2 linked regions of the Drosophila melanogaster genome follow. The gene in region 2 interacts genetically with the main gene of each other region. Each region holds a gene or a part of one and is shown on either strand. Other genes may lie near its edges.

The links. Genes that interact genetically often act in the same process or in processes that back each other up.
Region 1: of Rh7 (region 2) and gl, changing one enhances a phenotype caused by changing the other (phenotypic enhancement), as found in Drosophila melanogaster (one study listed by BioGRID).

Annotation. Positions count from the first base shown.
Region 1 is NT_033777.3:18,366,343-18,376,024, forward strand, and holds gl (glass), read right to left. Parts: upstream 6,397-9,682; 5' UTR 6,175-6,396; intron 5,528-6,174; 5' UTR 5,437-5,527; coding exon 5,391-5,436; intron 5,108-5,390; coding exon 4,977-5,107; intron 4,494-4,976; coding exon 3,001-4,493; coding exon of another isoform or gene 2,997-3,000; exon of another isoform or gene 2,605-2,996; coding exon 2,460-2,604; coding exon of another isoform or gene 2,235-2,459; 3' UTR 1,585-2,234; downstream 1-1,584. Other genes in the region: Nup43 (nucleoporin 43kD), read left to right, coding at 378-660, 726-1,519. UniProt on the Drosophila melanogaster protein: Transcription factor required for gene expression specific to photoreceptor cells.
Region 2 is NT_037436.4:12,170,695-12,178,310, forward strand, and holds the start of Rh7 (rhodopsin 7), read right to left. Parts: upstream 4,789-7,616; 5' UTR 4,325-4,788; intron 1-4,324.

The DNA of each region.
Region 1 (9,682 bases), on a different chromosome or scaffold from region 2:
ATATAACTATCTATGTGCGAAATAAGTTTATAGGACTCAAGAAAGTATATATAATATGCTATTGAAAAATTGGCGCCCCACATTTTGGGGGACATCTCCACTCGCAGAGCCTGTGCAAGCTTGACCACCTTAAAGGATATTTCAGGAAAATTTCATAATAGAATTACCAATCGTTTTTGAGATAAGCTCATTAAGTACCATAATATAGATCCACATAACAATTTTTCTGCTTTTGTTTCCAGCCCTGCCCAATTTATAGATACCAGATTAAGTTTCCCGCTAAGATATGTTGCGATCTTCTTGCTCTGGTCACACTTAACTCGAAAGCCGCATTATTTTGTTTACATCGCGAATCCTCTGCTAAATCCAACGAAAAGATGTCCATTGCAAACGTTTCCACGCACTACATATCCGAGAAGGTGTCCCAAGTGCGCTGGCTTCCGGAGGAACTGCAGCAGAGCGAACGGTTCGTTACTGGAAGCTGGGACATGGACCAGAACTTCGTGCGCCTCTGGCGGCTACAATCGAACCAATATGTCACCGCCACGGATTCGGAAGTGGACCAGATACCTCGCTGCATGGACAAGGTGAGAATGGAGGACGATGTGACCGCCATGGAGTTCGTCGACAAGGACACGCTGGCTGTGAGCTGTGCCGATGGTCAGTTACAAGTTCCAGCAATCATGAACTCAGCTAAATAAATGTCTATTTTAATACCAAACAAGGTCATCTCAGCGTGTTTAACGTCCATCGAGCCGTGGAGGAGGATCAGATGCAACGTACGTCCCGATCGGGACGTCTGCACTGCTTCCAACGTAGCCAGGAGCCCGCTCCTTGCACCGACCTTTCTGTTTACGGCACGGATATCGCCACCGCCGGCGAGGATGGGTGTGTAAGCATCGTCTCCGTGGAAAATGTGCGCCAGGTGAAGCGACAGATTGAGGCGGACAGCATGGCGCTGTTTTCCATTTGCTATATCAGCCAGCAGGAACTGGTGACTGCCAATAGGATGGGTGTTATCCGAATGCTGGACGCCCGAGTGGCCACTGAAGCGCAGCCGAAGACCACCTTTATGGTGGCCTCCCAGGATGACAAGTCGAACTTTGTCTCGTCCCTTGCCAAGCATCCGATGCAGCAACATATTTTACTTTGCGGCAGCGAAGAGGGTTCCATAACCGTCTGGGATATGCGAAACCTCAGTTATCCCGCCTCCTATCTCAGCGCTCACAAAAGTCCCATCAACGAGATAGGCTTCCATCAAAAGGATCCCAGCAAACTGTTCACCGCCGCAGAAGGTGGCGAGGTGTGGATGTGGTCAGAGAACAAAGTTCTCGGGTGCGACTATAACAAAGACGGACACAGCCCCTGGTTGTCTGGCGATCGTGTTCGCTCCCTGGTCGATGTGGAGGGAGTGCTGAGTAATGTTCGCAAGTCCATCAACTCCTTCGATGTGCATGGAAGTCGTCTGGTCTGCGGAGGCGACACAGAAGCCGTTTACCTAGTTGATAATATTGTTTAAATGTCAAGCCTTTTGAATTCCTTACCTAAATTATATAATATTTCAATTGTTGAAATCAATTAGTTACTGTATTTAATTTTCGTATATTTATTATTTTCTTTATATACTCCAAAATTGGCTTAGATCAAAGCACCTGTCTTACATCTACGTCTAGTTTAAGCTTAGGACTCTATATTCGTATACAGGTGTTTATGGGTTTAATGCCTTGGCAATTCCAATTTAAATATTCTCGTTTTGGGTGCTGCTGTGTTGTTTGGTCTTATGATTCATACTCATATCCGTCTTAAATCCTATTTCGTTGGCTAATTTGGAATAGATTTATGCGTGTTTTGAACTACCTTATTTAATGGATGAACTAACTTGGATTCAATGCATATTAGGCTAAGCGAATATAATAAATATAGTATGTATAAGTATGTACAGTGCAGCTCTTAGGCCTACTTTTGTTCGATTCTCCGCGATTCCTCAGATTTGTATTGTTTGAGCATTTTTAACTGCATTTGGATGCGGATTTGGGTTATGAGTATTATTACATCGTTATGTTCAATTAGGATTTCAATTTAACACGAACCCAAATTATTTTTCTACAGCAATGTTGAGTATGGCATATACATTATTGTATTTATCAGCGATAGAGTGACTATCCCCGTATAATTCACTGAGTGGTCCTCCTTTAAGGTTTCTTATCCAGATGGGATCCTCCAGATTTTAGTCCCTAGTAGAATCGTTCGAACTTGGGCGCCTTGTTGAGTGCGCAGAAATAATACCCTGAATAGTTTTGTGTGGCTCCGGGTGGAGTATAATCGCCGATGCTGTAGTTCCCGTAGTCGTAGTTACCCATGTGGGCGTGGTGATGGTGATGGGCGTGGTGCTGGTGGTGCATGTGGTGGGTGTGCGGGGGGTGGTAATGCTGGAAACCTCCTGCACTCCTTGGCTTTTGTCATGTGAGCAGGCTGTTGCCACCACCAACTCCGCTGCCGGTGGAGGACTCTCCACCAACTCCGGTTGCCCCATTGCTGCCATTGCTGCTGTTGTTGTTGCCGTGGACGCGCATGTGCCGATTCAAGTTCCCCGACTGCGAAAATCTGTGGACACCAAAAAAGCAATTAACTCGATGTATAACGTTCCAGGACTGCTCTTTGGGGGCCTAAGCCTTTTTTAAGGGGTAATTTTCATCTTTAGCATTACATTTGAATAAACAATTATTATTTCATTTAATTTCAGTTCTTTAGTTGAAGTTGAAAATCTTACGAAAATGCATGAATGAAAATGAATGATGCATATTATCTTTGGTTTTCCTTTTTTTTAAGCTTGCAACAGTCTCAGTTTTGTTCAAGTTGTTAGTTTTATATTGAAACGATAGAAATTATTAAACTATCTTTAAAGCTTTAAGGGTTTACGTAAAAGTAAAAGCAAAACCATTTTCGTTCGTTTAGGAATGAGGAAGGACGGTGTAAGTAAATCCCCCATCCCGGACTCACCTGAGCAGGCAGAGCTTGCACTGGTAGGGCTTCTCGCCACTGTGGATTCGCAGGTGCTTGGTGAGGGTGCTGCTGTCCGAGAAGGACTTCTTGCACGAGGAGCAGCGGTACGGCCGCTCGCCGGAGTGGGTGCGCATGTGCGTGGTGACACTGGAACTCTGCGAGAATCTCCGGTCGCAGATGGGGCAGCGGAACGGCTTCTGGCCGGTGTGTGTGCGTACGTGAGCCGTCAGGTTGGCTGCCTGCGAGAAGCTCTTGTTGCAGTCGGGGCATCGATAGGGTCTTTCGCCGGAATGGGTCCGCAGATGGGTCTTGAGCGTGCTGGGCCGGGCATATGTCTTTCCGCACAACCGGCATAGATTGGGTTTCATCTCGCCGCCACTGCTGCCCTCATCGCCGTCCAGATCCTCGTTGCTATCCTCCTCGTCCTCGAAGGCGGATAGACTTAAGCCCAGGGCGGCTGCCTGATAGCTGGTGGGACTTTTGTGGGGCGGTGTGTATCCCTGATTGCCCACCCCCGTGGGATAGTAGCCAGCCAAAGAGGAGTTGGCCGGCGGCGATGGCGACTCCTTTTCGCCCACCGTCAGCGGTGGCAGGGCACCCAGACCCGTGGGAGCCGGTGCCCGAAAATCCGCTGTAAAGGAATATGTGGCCGAGGCAGGATAGTGACCGGGACTCAGCAGCGGTGGGTATAGCACATTTACCGCCGCTGCTGCTGCTGCCGCCGAGGTGGAGTTACTGGGTGGCGTCCAGTTCATCTGGGAGCACTGCATTGGCACGCCGCCTGCATCACCGGCACCGTAGCCATGGTGCATGGTCATGTTCATGCTGACGTTCACGCTCATGCTGGGATACATGGCTGCCGCCGGAGGAGGAGGTGGTGCGGCCGTTCCAGCACTGGTTTCATAGTAGCAACTGGCAGCGTTGGCCACTCCTCCGGCACTACCATTACTGCCGATATTGTTGCCACCACTGCTTTGGAGGAGAGAGTTGCCTACGTGCGATGCCTGGACTTGGGATTGCTGGTGCTGGTGCTGCTGGTGCTGCGAGTGCATCTGGCCATGATTGTGGGAGTTCGGCGAAATGAGCATCTGGTGCGGATGCACTGTGTAGGAGAGTGAGGCGGCCTGGTGCGGATTGCCGGCGGCAAAGTTGTAGGAAGCGCCGCAGGGCGAGAATGGGAACAGGCTGGGCAGCGGATCGATGTCCAGCGGCGGTAGGCCGGGAAATGTGGAAGCCATCTCGTCGGTGCTCCAGTAGCCGTGATTACCCGAGGAGCCTCCTCCGGCACCGTTGTTGCTGCTCCCGTTGCCGCTGCTCGCCGGTGGTGTCGTGCTGATCTGGATGTGGCCGCCACCGATGCCCACGCCCACTCCAATCGTGGGATCGAAACAGCCGCCGCAGTCGAAGTCGCTGCTGGTGAGCGAGGAGATGGGCAGGGCGGTGCTGCCCTGGCAGGATAGGCAGCCGACGCAGGAAGCGGCGCACTCTTGCTGCACGAGCGAAAACGGAAATGGAGATTGAGACCGGTTATGAAATACATTCAGTTAGTACTAATACGTAACTAAGACAAAATAATTAGTTAGTTAGTGGAAACATTTAGTAAATTTTAACTATTTTTACATTCTAATACTGACTTCTGAGGAGAGTTTAATTGTATTACATATGGAAGGAATTTCTAAGCTATTAAACTTCCCAATAGATAAAATCGTATGGGTTAAAAATGTAATAGATTACTTTAAAAACGAAAATGATAAACTTCTTAGTACAAAACTGTCTGATTTTTCAGTTACCGATATAGCAAATTAAAATAACCACAATTTCGGTATTGGGTTCTATTTCCTGGTTATAAAATTTAAATAGTTCAGGTATATCACAGATTTCAGCTAAGTTCTTTCCACGAAACAAGCACAACCGAACGCTCGAAGATTTCCGGAGATATTGAGGCGAAATCGAAAAAGGATTCCAGGACTCACCTGAGGGCTGTCCAGCGCCAGGCCGAACAGGGGATTGTTGGGCACATAGCCCGTCTCTGGTTCCACAGGACCGCCGTTTGAGACATCGCACGATATGTACATAGCTCCACCCTCTTGATCTTCCAGGGAATCTGCGCAGCCAAAAAAAAAAAAAAAAGAACAGCATGAAAATCACTGGAAGTACGCCAGAGATGCTCGCCAGCAGCGCGTATCTCATGGATACATTTTTGCTCCCATGACAACCACTGTGCGCACTAGCTCCGCCCCTCGAGACACACACAGACACACACAAATACACAAATCGAGAGACCGCCATTTGCTTTGCTCTCTCGACTCGCGACTTTCCATCCGTGTATCGCCATACAATATGCTGTATCTGCATATCTGTGCAATGGTGCTTCCGATTTCACTCACCCAGAATTGTGTTCAGGAGTTTGGAACCCTTATATAACAATCCCATGACATGACTCCACTTCTGGAACGTTTGGGCTCAGCAGTCGCGCATTTGTTCCTGCTTTTCCTACGCTTCATCTTGATGCGTTAATTTCCAACTGCAAGGCGATGACGGAACATTATTGGTAAATTCTAATTAAGATTCACTTTCTATTCATTTATTCAAATCTATTATTCAATTTATTATTTATTCAATCAAATACCAATATCAAATCTAATCTTCATATATTTTCAATAAAGTGTTAATAAATTCAGTTTTAAATAAAGTTCGACAGCTAATCAGAAATTAGATACACAATATGACAGATTCTTCACCTCTAAATTTAAAAGAGATATCGAATTATAGATCGCTCTTATGACGAAGATGGATTTCAATTCGATTGTTTCATTATTGTTAGGACTAAAAAATTATACTAAAATTACAATAACTTTCATTTTGAAAGAAACAAAACGTTAAAATTGCTATTTAACTAATTTATGCATGCAAATCAAAGTAAATTTTTGTTTTTCTTTTTAATGAGATCAAAGCTATGATATTGTTAAATTGATAAAATCTTCTTAGTGAATTGATTTTTTCGATCTTAGCCAAAACATTGTTAGGACATTTTAATTAGCTATTTGCAGTTATTAGGTTTTATTTCAAATACATTAGTTGTATTCCATTTTTTCTTTCTTCTTTTTTATTGCAGATTTAATATTGTTTATTCCGTTCTTTATTCACATATGCACTCTTAATCGTTTTCACCTTCTGAATAGATCCACAAATGGCATGATACCAAGATCACCAATAGAATTTCAACGTTTTCTTGCAAAATATGTTTGTAACTTTTTTTTCGAAGACTCGGTTTTAAGTAGTAACACACGATCGTTGTTTTCCGATTTGAATTTTATGCGTTTTCAGTTTTCGATTTTTCGAGTGCGGGGCAAGAAGCGACTTTTGGCGAGGAGCATAAGACGGCGACTAATTGTCAGTTGCAGTTCGGTTCGAGCCACCTCGGCCCAAAATCGACTGATATATCGGATTGGCAGAGCGGCAGCAAAGCGACAACCGACAACTACAGAGGAAGCAGCAGGGCGCAAAAAACATACTCACTTAATTATAAACAAGCGACAAAAGGGCGCAAAAGACAACGGCAACAACAATCTCGCTCGCACTCACACTTTGGTCGGCTATAATGACACAAGTACGCAGCACTACACACTCGAGACCCTTGCTGAAAGCACCCCTCCTCCAATACCAAACCCATACCATACCATACCCACACCAAGCCATCCCGCACTATATCCCATGCCCACTCCTGAGATTCCATCCATCCACCACCACAACAACGCTGCCGTCATCGTTGTTGGCCAACCAATGCGCTCCGTCTGCCGGCTTTTGCGGCTACTACCCACCCCTCTGCTGCTTCCACGTCCACATCCTCATCCAAATCCAAAGTCACCCTCCTCCGCCTTCGCCTTCGCCTCCATATCCGACTCCTCCGCTGCCGATCCCGCCCAGTCCGAGTTTCAGGCCCATTCATACGTGGCCAGCTACATCGGCAGCAGTTTTCAGTAGTTTTTATTTGTCACCCAATATCTTACAGCTCGACACCAGATACCAACGAGGCGGGGAGAAAAAAGAGTACACTTCGAGAAATAATCGCTAGCAAGCAGTTCTAGTGCTCTAGAATGTTACACTTCAAAATCGATGGCCGTTCAAATAACGTTGTTTTCAATTCACAAACAAGTATCCTCACTTTATTTGTTGAAAAGAAGATATGAAGTTCCTTTTCCTTAAAATCTATAGATGCACAACCGCAGATTGTCGCTAAATTCTTAAGAGGACATCAAATCACTTGAGACTATTTGATATGCTTGTGATTAGTGAATATTTTCGATATATAACATATTATTTACTTTCTTAAAATAAAGGTATTGTAATTTTATTACATAATAAACAAAAAGTACTATAGGGATTATTAATAAACAATGTAATTGGTATGATATAAATATGATACAAGAAGTATTGAAAATAAAGTAATTCACATATTAAAATGGGAATTTTCTGGCAGGGTCTCTGATGAGGGAGGGACAGTTGCTACGGACTTGCCAACCATTGATCGTCTTCGTCGGCATTCTGCTTCCTCTTCGCTCCATTGTTTTGTGGTTAAGTGAGGCAGTCCATCGGCCAAGTCGGCCGGCAACCCCCTGACTGCTTCTGTAGCTTGTATCTGCGTATCTGGCCGTGTGTATCTGCTTCTGTTGCGTGTATCTTTGTATCTCTATCTCCGGCGCTGATTCTCAATTGTAGCCCGGCCAATGACGACTGCCAATCGATCGATGCTCTTGTCGCCGGGCCGACAATCGTGAATAGTTTGAATGTTATTTGATAGTTCGATTTGTGGTCGCAGCAGAAAAAGCAAGGAATAAATCGCAGGCCAGATGGAAAAGCAAATGGAAATTATGAAATAGATGTGTTAAGCCCAACTCGACTATATTTAGCTAAGATATATTATAGATATAATGCTATGAAGAGATCCCAATTCGGATCGATCACCTGGTTCACACGCCCGAAATCGAATTCACCGCCAATTGGCAAAATCAGTTGAGTGCAAAGGCTTGCAGTGATCGCATACGTATCGAGCTATATCCCCCATATCACCTTACCTTATCGATGGGAATTTCAGGTCAAGCCCAGCCAGCGTCGTGTGTGTTAAAATCAGATCCACAGTCTGAGCAGATTCGAACCAGTTTTCAATTTTTATATTTCTTTTTTTTTTTACTTCGCTTCAAGTATCAGTTTCATGTCAACAACTTGGCTAAGGACATGAGCCTGTCTCTGCTGCCGATTGTCAGAATGGATTAGGATGCGATCCTTGAGCTGCTAGCTGCTAGCTGCGAGCTGGTAGCCAGGCAATCCGGTGGTATCAATAACAATTAGCCAGAGATTCCACTCAGGTGGTGCGTTCAGGTGTCAGCTGATCAAACTGCTTCCCATCTCTCGATTGACCGCAATTCAAGAATTCAAGAGTTTGCTACAAATTAAGCCGCAGGGTAAACATATTCGAGCACCCCCTCTTAGAGGGACCTGTTATCACACCAGCCCATCCACCAACCACCTTATCATCGCACGTGGATTTGTTTGCCAGAACGCTCATTGCTAGCTGGTGTTTGTTTTGCGCATTTCAATTGACTAACAATGCCAGGACATGATGCTGCCCATCCCTGCGTACGTTTCCCATGTTGCCACCAGCAACTTGAGAGGCAAATTTCACTCATTTTCATTCTGCATTTCGTGTTCGAGCACATTTCATTTCATTTCAATTCAATTCATTTCATTCCATTTCTTTTGCCTTCGCCGCTCTGTAGTCCGTTGTGAATTGGCGAGGCTTCTAAAATCAATGAAATACTTTTCGGGCTGCACCGATGGGGCTTCTCCTGGTTTGGGCTGCGCTTTGCTTTTATGCTGCCACTCAAGTCATTCAACATGTTAATGCCAATCGGTCATATTAGCTACCATGCCGGCTAAAATGAGCTAACCAACTTGGTTCAACTGGAGGCGGGGAGTGGGGGAGGTGTGCCTGCTCAATCAGAGATGATTAACAATTAGTTGTCATTAAGTGCGCTTAACTTTGATACAGAAATACAAAAATAAACAAAAATAAACAAAAAGTAACAAAATTATAAACAAGTCCTGGGCTTAGAGCCTTACAAAAGGAACGTACTCCTTTATTCTTTATTTAAGAAAATAAAAAATGCAATCTTAAGTGCCGTGAATTATAAAAATGTTCCACACCTTTAACTTTTAATTCCATCGAAAGTCATATCCTTGAACTTATCAGTTTGTTGTAATTGAATGCCTGATGAAACTTATCAATGGTATTTGAACATAAGTTACCTCTAATTATAAATTTGTATTAAGAAACGATTCAAAAGTTAAGATTTAATAAGAACAATTGAATTTAAGTGGCTAAAATCTGTGTTTATATCAATCAATCATCGCTTAACAGTCGGTTTTTAAGCCAAATTCTTCTTCAATATAGGATGTGAAAACACTCTTCCTAATTTCTTATCAATTTTTTTATTTACTAGGTTTACTGAGAGGATCCTTTAACTTGTAAATAACACTTCCCCAGTGATATAGACAACTGGCGTGGACTGTATGGTTTCTATGATATGACTTAGTAGGAACTGTAGAGTTTTGGAACTGGAGTGCATGAGACATCTGTGAGTGCAATTGGGCCGACAACCGACGCCCCCGCTCCCGAGGA
Region 2 (7,616 bases):
GATACCTTCGAATGCTCGTTAAAAGTACCAAGTTAGCAAGATTTAAAAGTGTATGTCCTTTATCAGCATGAAATCAACAAGGGACAGGACATGAAACATCTATACGTATGGCAGTAATCATGATTTTAATAACACGCATTTTTGTTTGGTTGCTATATTGCATATCAAATTACACGACTTATTTGCTTAGATATTCGCTTTTACTAAATGCCACAAGTTGCACAAATGTAATTAAACAATTGTTTTCGCTTTTGTTAGGTGGCATGTTTAAAGTTATTATTATTCAGTAAATCTGTCACACCCCTTTTTAAATTCAAAATTTAAATGTATATGTATATTATTTTTTGTATCCTGTATAATTTAAAATAATATTAGTTTCAACGCAACGATTGCTTTATTAAATTAAAACTGCTTTCACCAAAAAGCTGCGCAATGTTATTAAATTTCATGTATATTTTTATTTATTTACGTTTCGATAAATCTGGCAAAAATGTTGAATACTAAGGCACACATCTTGAATATTGCATCACTGCATCAGTTTTTGAGCTCAAGATAAATCCTCTTATCCGCTTTAGAACCACTCATGAGTATTTTTGTATAAAGTGCTCACTTTCAACACCGATGGATTGATTAAGTAACTGGGCAACCTGTTGAATGTTGAGATGTTCATCCATCATTTTTGCAATTTCGTATCAATTACTATATTTAGAAAGGTTCCATATTATACATATAGGTATAAACTTTTCAATGGCAAATACAATTTAGATATCAAAAGCGTTTTTGCTTTTTGTTATATTCGAAATTAGCGTACCGTATGAAATTCATACTATGCTTTTCAGAAACCGATTAGGCCAATTGAGTGTCATTCAGGATCTTCAAAGGACCCAGCTGAGCAGAGAAAGAGAGAGAGAAACGAAGAGCTGTTAGCCTCTTGTTCGCCGTTCTTTGATGAAATGCGCAGGCAGGCGTGACTTGTTTGTGCCCATTCTACATTCATTCGATTAGGCCAGGTCCTCTTGACGGCCAACGGGCTGGGCCGACTTCTGCGATTCAAACACCCCCATGCACACCACAATACACCCCACACTACATCCACTATCAGCCCCAAATGCGACAAGGCCGTTCACTAGTGAGCACTACTAAACAAAAACGGAACCCATCACTTAGACTCGTATTTTTACAAAGCGGATATGCGCGATTTTTTGCTCTTCTGCATTTTGTTATTTATTTTTGCTGTTTTTTTTTTGCTGTATGCACAGATGCATTTTGTTCCTTTTATTTAGCCGCCACAATTTCATCCGCTCTCAAAATTTAATTACGAGTGGAAATGGCTTAAAGTGCTCAGTTCTGTTCTGTTCGTTGCAGTTTGGTTTTTATCCTGCGGCAATGGAAGCCGCGGGATGATTGCGCGGATACAATTATCCAGCCACTCGGGTGAAATGGGCGGGAAAACGCTACAACGGCAGCGAAAAAGAGCATGAAAACAATTTATTAAAATTAAGTTTCAATTTGAGCTGGTTTTTTGTATTTTTAATTCACCGGAAGAAGCTGCCACAATAATCATATTGCGAGTTTTTGCCATTTTTGGTAGGCAGAGCAACGGGAGCATAATTCAAACGAAACATGCTTGGCAAATAGTTTATCATTTGGGCTTAAATTAGTTTCATTCTTTAGCCGCCTTTCTGCGAATTTTTTATGTAATAAACTTCAGGCAAGCTCAAAACTTTTATAGCAAGTGCACTTAATTAAATGTAAGCTATTTCAAAATATATATTTTGGAACTGGAAGATCAGCATGAACGTTAAAATTGATGTAATATATGCGATTTACTATAGACTTTTTAAGGTATACCATTGCCTTAGTTTACAAACCTTAAATCCTCATAGATATCCAAAAAGGGTTATAAGTGATGTTTTGTGTGTATTTCTTTAACAAGAGTTTTTGTTAAATAGAAACATTGCAAAGTCACGAAATCACGTTCATACACAATATTACCAATCTGAGTTGGCTCATTCCTGCGACCCACGCAAGCAATCATCACATGTGTCCTGGTCCACCACTTTTGTCGTGTGCCCGGCAATCAAAGGATAACACCAGCTGATTTGGGAACATGAAATACAAGTCGCTAAACCTGAGTAGGGAGCACATTTCCCAGCTGATATATATACATATATATTTTTTTGTTGCCTGCCATGGGAGCCCATGACCCCCCTTGGGTGTATTGATTTATGCTCGCGCAAGTTTTCATTTCACAATTTTCACTTATGTATGGCAGTTTATTGCAGTCCTCATCTGCACTCAGCGCTTTCGTCCTGCCACGTCCTTAGCTTCCACAACCCCCCCCAACCCCGCGGACCGCACGTGCTCGGCTGGTCTCGTTTTTCCACCAAATGTAAAGCCAGCAGCCCAAGGCTGTGACAAAACAGAAAGTTCTACCATGCCGCCATCATCAACAGGCTCTTAACGGCCTAAACATGCAGGAAACAAAAAGGGGGAAGCGTTTGAAAAAAATTTCAGAAAAATCCCAAAGGACATTTTAATTTAGAGGGATTATGAAACTCTGCGATTTATGATGGCAAAACAGAAACACGCCGCTGATTGCTTAAAAAAACAAAATTGTATTCGTGTACAATCCTTTTAAACGTAAATCATACTCTAAAGCTATCAAAGCTTTTTGATATTTTATAACTTAATATTTTGACTTAAATATTTGACAGTGTAGGTGACAACATTTTAATGACCTGTCATTCTCGAAATTGAATTTATGATATCACCCAACGCGTCAGTTGGATAAATTCAAATTCGACTTTATTAAAGTGTAATGCTGAATTGTGTTCAAAAATATATGACATGTTAATGTTCTATCAATGTGTTATAATACTTAAATAAAATAATTGAATGGATATCAATTTACAGCAGTTAGAGCGATTTGTGGTCCTATTTTTTGCTCAGTGCAGTGGCGATGAATGCTAATTCATGTAACTGAGATAGGGAGAGCACGTTGCAGAAACTGAGATCTGCGCCGCATTAGAACATGTCAAGTATCCAATCTGGCCTGAATAAAGCCACGGCGCCTTTAAGCTGCGAATTCCCATTGTGACCAGGACCGAGACCCAGACCAAGACGACCAAGACGAACACTAACCGGAGAATGGGTCTCCATCAACCATCAGTCGGTGCAGTGGCCGGAATGTAGGCAAAAACTGTGAAGAGCACTCATCGTTTCATACGGGTATGTTGGCCAGGGAAATGAAATGGAATGGCTCGGCGAAGTGGGTGGCCAGGATGAGCTGCATATCTCCAAGACATCCAAAGAGGCCATCTCAGAGGCCAAGCGCTCGAGAAGAGCGCCCCCAAGAAATGCGGCTGACTGGCTGTCCACTGGAGAAGACCACTTCATGGGACTTACGTTCGGGCAACCAAATGCGAGATGCCGGGTTCCATTTGTTTGGGAAAGTGCCTGTGTGGAACATCGCCACTCAGGTGTGTCAAGCCGAACAAAGCGTGCGGAGATGGGGCCAAAGGAGCCAAAAACGAATCAGTCGAAAGGACTCAGGATTGCCAGAAAGAGAGCAGCCCGTCCACTTGGCCAATAATTCCTAGGCATTCCACTTATTTTCCATTAGGCAAAAGCCGCTTATTGCCAGCTAAGGCCGCCCTCAAGTGTTTTGTTTGAATTTGTTCTTTTGGCTTATAAAAATAAGGCCCTCTTCAGTAGACCTCAATCAAATTAACACATAATTATGCAGACAAATCTGCGCTTATCGCTCACAAACAATTACCTAGGCATTACTTTTATTTAAATGGTATATATTAGGTGACAGGGAACAAGCTATGATATTATTATAATTATTATATTAATTCCTTAGAACACGAGATTGGTAATTTTGTTGAAATCTCTTTCAAGTGAATTTTGATTATAACAAATTTCATAGCATTTTCTGTTTACGTTACTAACGCAGTTTAATATTTTTAAGAGCAATGTATATGCTTTTGATATTAAAATTGACAGAATACAGTTCGTTTCACTGATTAAAATTTAGTGTTTGCTGAGCTTTAGCTTGTAATTTTACAAATGGTGTACAGATGCGTGTTGAATTAAAAAGAAATTTAATTCTGCAACTCACATTAAATCGAATTAAACAAAATATAGTCCTTATGTTGGCTGCTTGATTCCCTATGCGACAAGAATAAACACTCGTTTTGTTGCCAAGTAAATAAAGTTCATTTTATTCCAAGACAACCATAAATTTGCCAAAGGACGCAAACCGTTTACGGAAATATGGTAAAAAATGTTTTAAAGAAAAAATGTTGCCTCTGCTCACCTGCAGGGATGGTTATTGAGTTAGTTTCTGTTTTCGTAAACTTGGAGGTCACTTTGCTGATTTTCCATTGTGCATTGCAAATATTTTTTTTTCACCGAACTGTGTCCTCTTCAATTCAAAATTTTTTATTTTTTTTCGCGAAACACTTGAATTTGTTTGTAAGGTGCTGAGTCTTTACAAAGTTTACTTTTCAGTTTGTCATCGTTCGGGTCCGAAAGTTGGCCAGCACCAATTGCCAACTGGCGCCAACCGGACACAAAACTTTAACTCAATTTCCGCCGATTACCCGGAAAATTTATCTATGTATAGTACGTAAAAATGCAAGTAGCGTTTTAAGCCCGTCCTTTGACAGCGTAGTGGCTTTGGACAAGCTATTACTTGGTAATACGCGGCGAATACGCAATTTTCAATAACACCGCCAAACGGCTCGGGGATTTAAGGCATCCGCATCCGTTGCATCCCAGAGCTCGAAACTGACTGACTGAGGACTCGCGTACGACTGAGTTTCAGGACCCAGCAGCTGGTGTTTTTATCAATGAAAATTGTTGCTTGTCGGCATCCTTTTTCCGAGCCGAGGCTGCGAAAGAGAAAGCCAACGAGCGAGCAAAGAGCAGGTCCTTTTTTGGTCCCCGCTCTTAGCCGTGTACTATGCGGTTGGCTATTCAGAAGCCATCATAAGTTGGCTTTCCGGACTCATGTTTGCCAAGGCTATTCACATTTCATTACGGCCACTTGTGTGTTGTTCTTGAACTCGGCAGACGAAGAATCTCCCGAGATGTTAGTGGGTGTTTCTTGGTCTGCCGGCCATTCATTGGCTTCTGCGAGTTCGGGTGGTGCTGGCCACTGGGCATGGGTGGGTCAGGTGCTTGGGCCACCGTGTGGGTGTGGCGGGTGTTCATTGATAAGTTCACTTGGTCTGCTGAGCAGCACGTGTGCGTGTCAAAAGAGCCGCAGCCCTATAGATAGGTGATATTATTTTAATATGACCGAATGCCAGTATGATGATGATGCGGTGCCAGTAACAGGAATTTATGCCTGGCCATGGTAACATAATGGGTATCAGTTAGGCGTACCATCATTACAAGGTTAGCTTGTGAGAATTTTTGATTAAAAATTATTATTAGCACTCATTTATTATTATTTATATTTATAATATATGAGTTGTCATAGGCTATGAAGTAAGTTAAAGGTCAAGCTTATTCAAAAGGAAATACCAACTAATTTTACATTTTGCCAGTTCACTCTTAGTTTTGGAATACCTATTAAATTAACATTAACATCCTTTAGGAAATTATCAGATATGTTATTTTAATACAGAAAAACAGATACCATTACTTTCATGTTTGATCTATTACCAATTTCCCACACATATATCACAAATAATAATTACACAGTATTAATAAACTCATAAACACCTTGGTCTATGGTTTTTCGAGGAATTTTTGCGCTTGACTGCGGTACAAAATTGTCGAGTTCGAGAGGCGATGACAAACTGGCGGCATTTTTCTGGTTTTCTGGTCTGGCATCGTCATGAACTATTTGAGAGCAAACCCCGTAAATTGAGCAAAGCCAGCCGCAGTCGGTCGGCAGTTGCACTTTAATTAAAAATAAATACGATTTCCCCCCCACCCTACTCCGTTCCATTTGCACACCCCCCTCCCCGCCACCATCACTTGGCAAATGCCAACGAATCCAAGTCTAATGATTATTGATGTTCCTACTGATGGCTTGACTGCTGTTTGCAGCCAGCTTTTTGACCCGTCTAACAAAAAGGTTGTGTTTTTTGCGTAGACTGACCTACGGTGGACATGGCTACAATTACGGATAATGCTCCGGGGTTAGCTTTATAATTCTGCCGATTTGTTAATTTGTGTACCTGCACCTTTCACGTGCTTTTTGTGTCCCCAACTTGGCCAAATTGTGGATCTAAGTTCTGTCAACGAGGTATTTCAATACTCTTGGAAGCTTAATAACATTTAGGCGACGACTTAACCTTCAAAATCTTCTCTTTATACACTAAAATATTTAAAGCCAAAACTGTTAAAATGGTTGCCTTAAAGTAAAAATACAAAATGAAAACAACATTATGATTCTTATGTTGAAATGTGAATAAGAGAGTGGCAAGGATAGCCGCTTTTTAGCTGCAAGACTCGAATGATTAAGTGCATTTTAAATATTCATACATATATGATATTCTTTTACGACAATGACCCCTTAAAACTTAAAAAATCAGATACCATTTGTGACATTCCCCCAAAAGGGAGTTAAACAAAAACGCCTTTAGACGCAGACATTTTCTCATACATAGAGCATGTGCACACCAACGAACTTTTGCCGGCTGTCTTTCCGGTTTAGATATTAAAAGTTTTGCTTTGTGGCACTAAATTATACGACATTTACGCATTCGCCGCCGGCTGTTAGTACTCACAAATAAAAATATACGTACATACATATATTTTTCATAGCTTGCAATTCACAGCAAAGAAAAAAGCACTTATTCTTTCTCCATTTCAGATGCTGTCTCTGTCTGCTGATTCCCCTTTGCTCCAAAAAAAAAAAAAACAAAAAACCCCGAGCAGAGTAATTAGTGACTTGTACAAAAAAAAAAGGAATACAAAAGAGTCTATTATAAACACGGGACATACATAAGTGTAAGTGTTCTATGCGCAAGTTTTCCAGATTTTAGACTGATTTTAGCTGCTTGTAGAAAAATGACATTTATGTATGTACATATGTACATACATATTTGCTCGCTTGACATATCACGGAGGTCGTTTTAATACACGCCTTACCTGATTTTTTTAACCCTCGGCTTGCCCAGATGAACGACAATGCAAAGTGCTTAACAGCCCAAGTTCAGGTGAAAAATTTCCATTGCCAAAGCCGAACTTTGCGGGATGAGTCAGTCATAACTGGCCTAAAAAAGTTACCAAAAAAAAAAGCGTAGAAAATAAGCGGCAACCGTACGCTGTGCGTATTAAAATTCTGTTGGATTATCTGCTTGCTAGTTGTTTAATTAATTGTTTTATTTTTTGTCGATCTATTCGCTTGGCATTGCAATGCATTAATTAATTTGCAATTCTTGATTGTATTAAACTTTTTTGCCTGCAATTAAATCCCTATTATTTTGCCATAACATAACTAATTGTTTAAACAAAAAAAAAAATATCAGTTCCCTTTGAAGTTTTCACTGGAGACAAGTTAAATGAAATGACGCAAATAATATACATATGAATATTGTTAACATCGAAGATATAAAGCATTCCTTTGTTCAGATCAATTATGGCTGTTA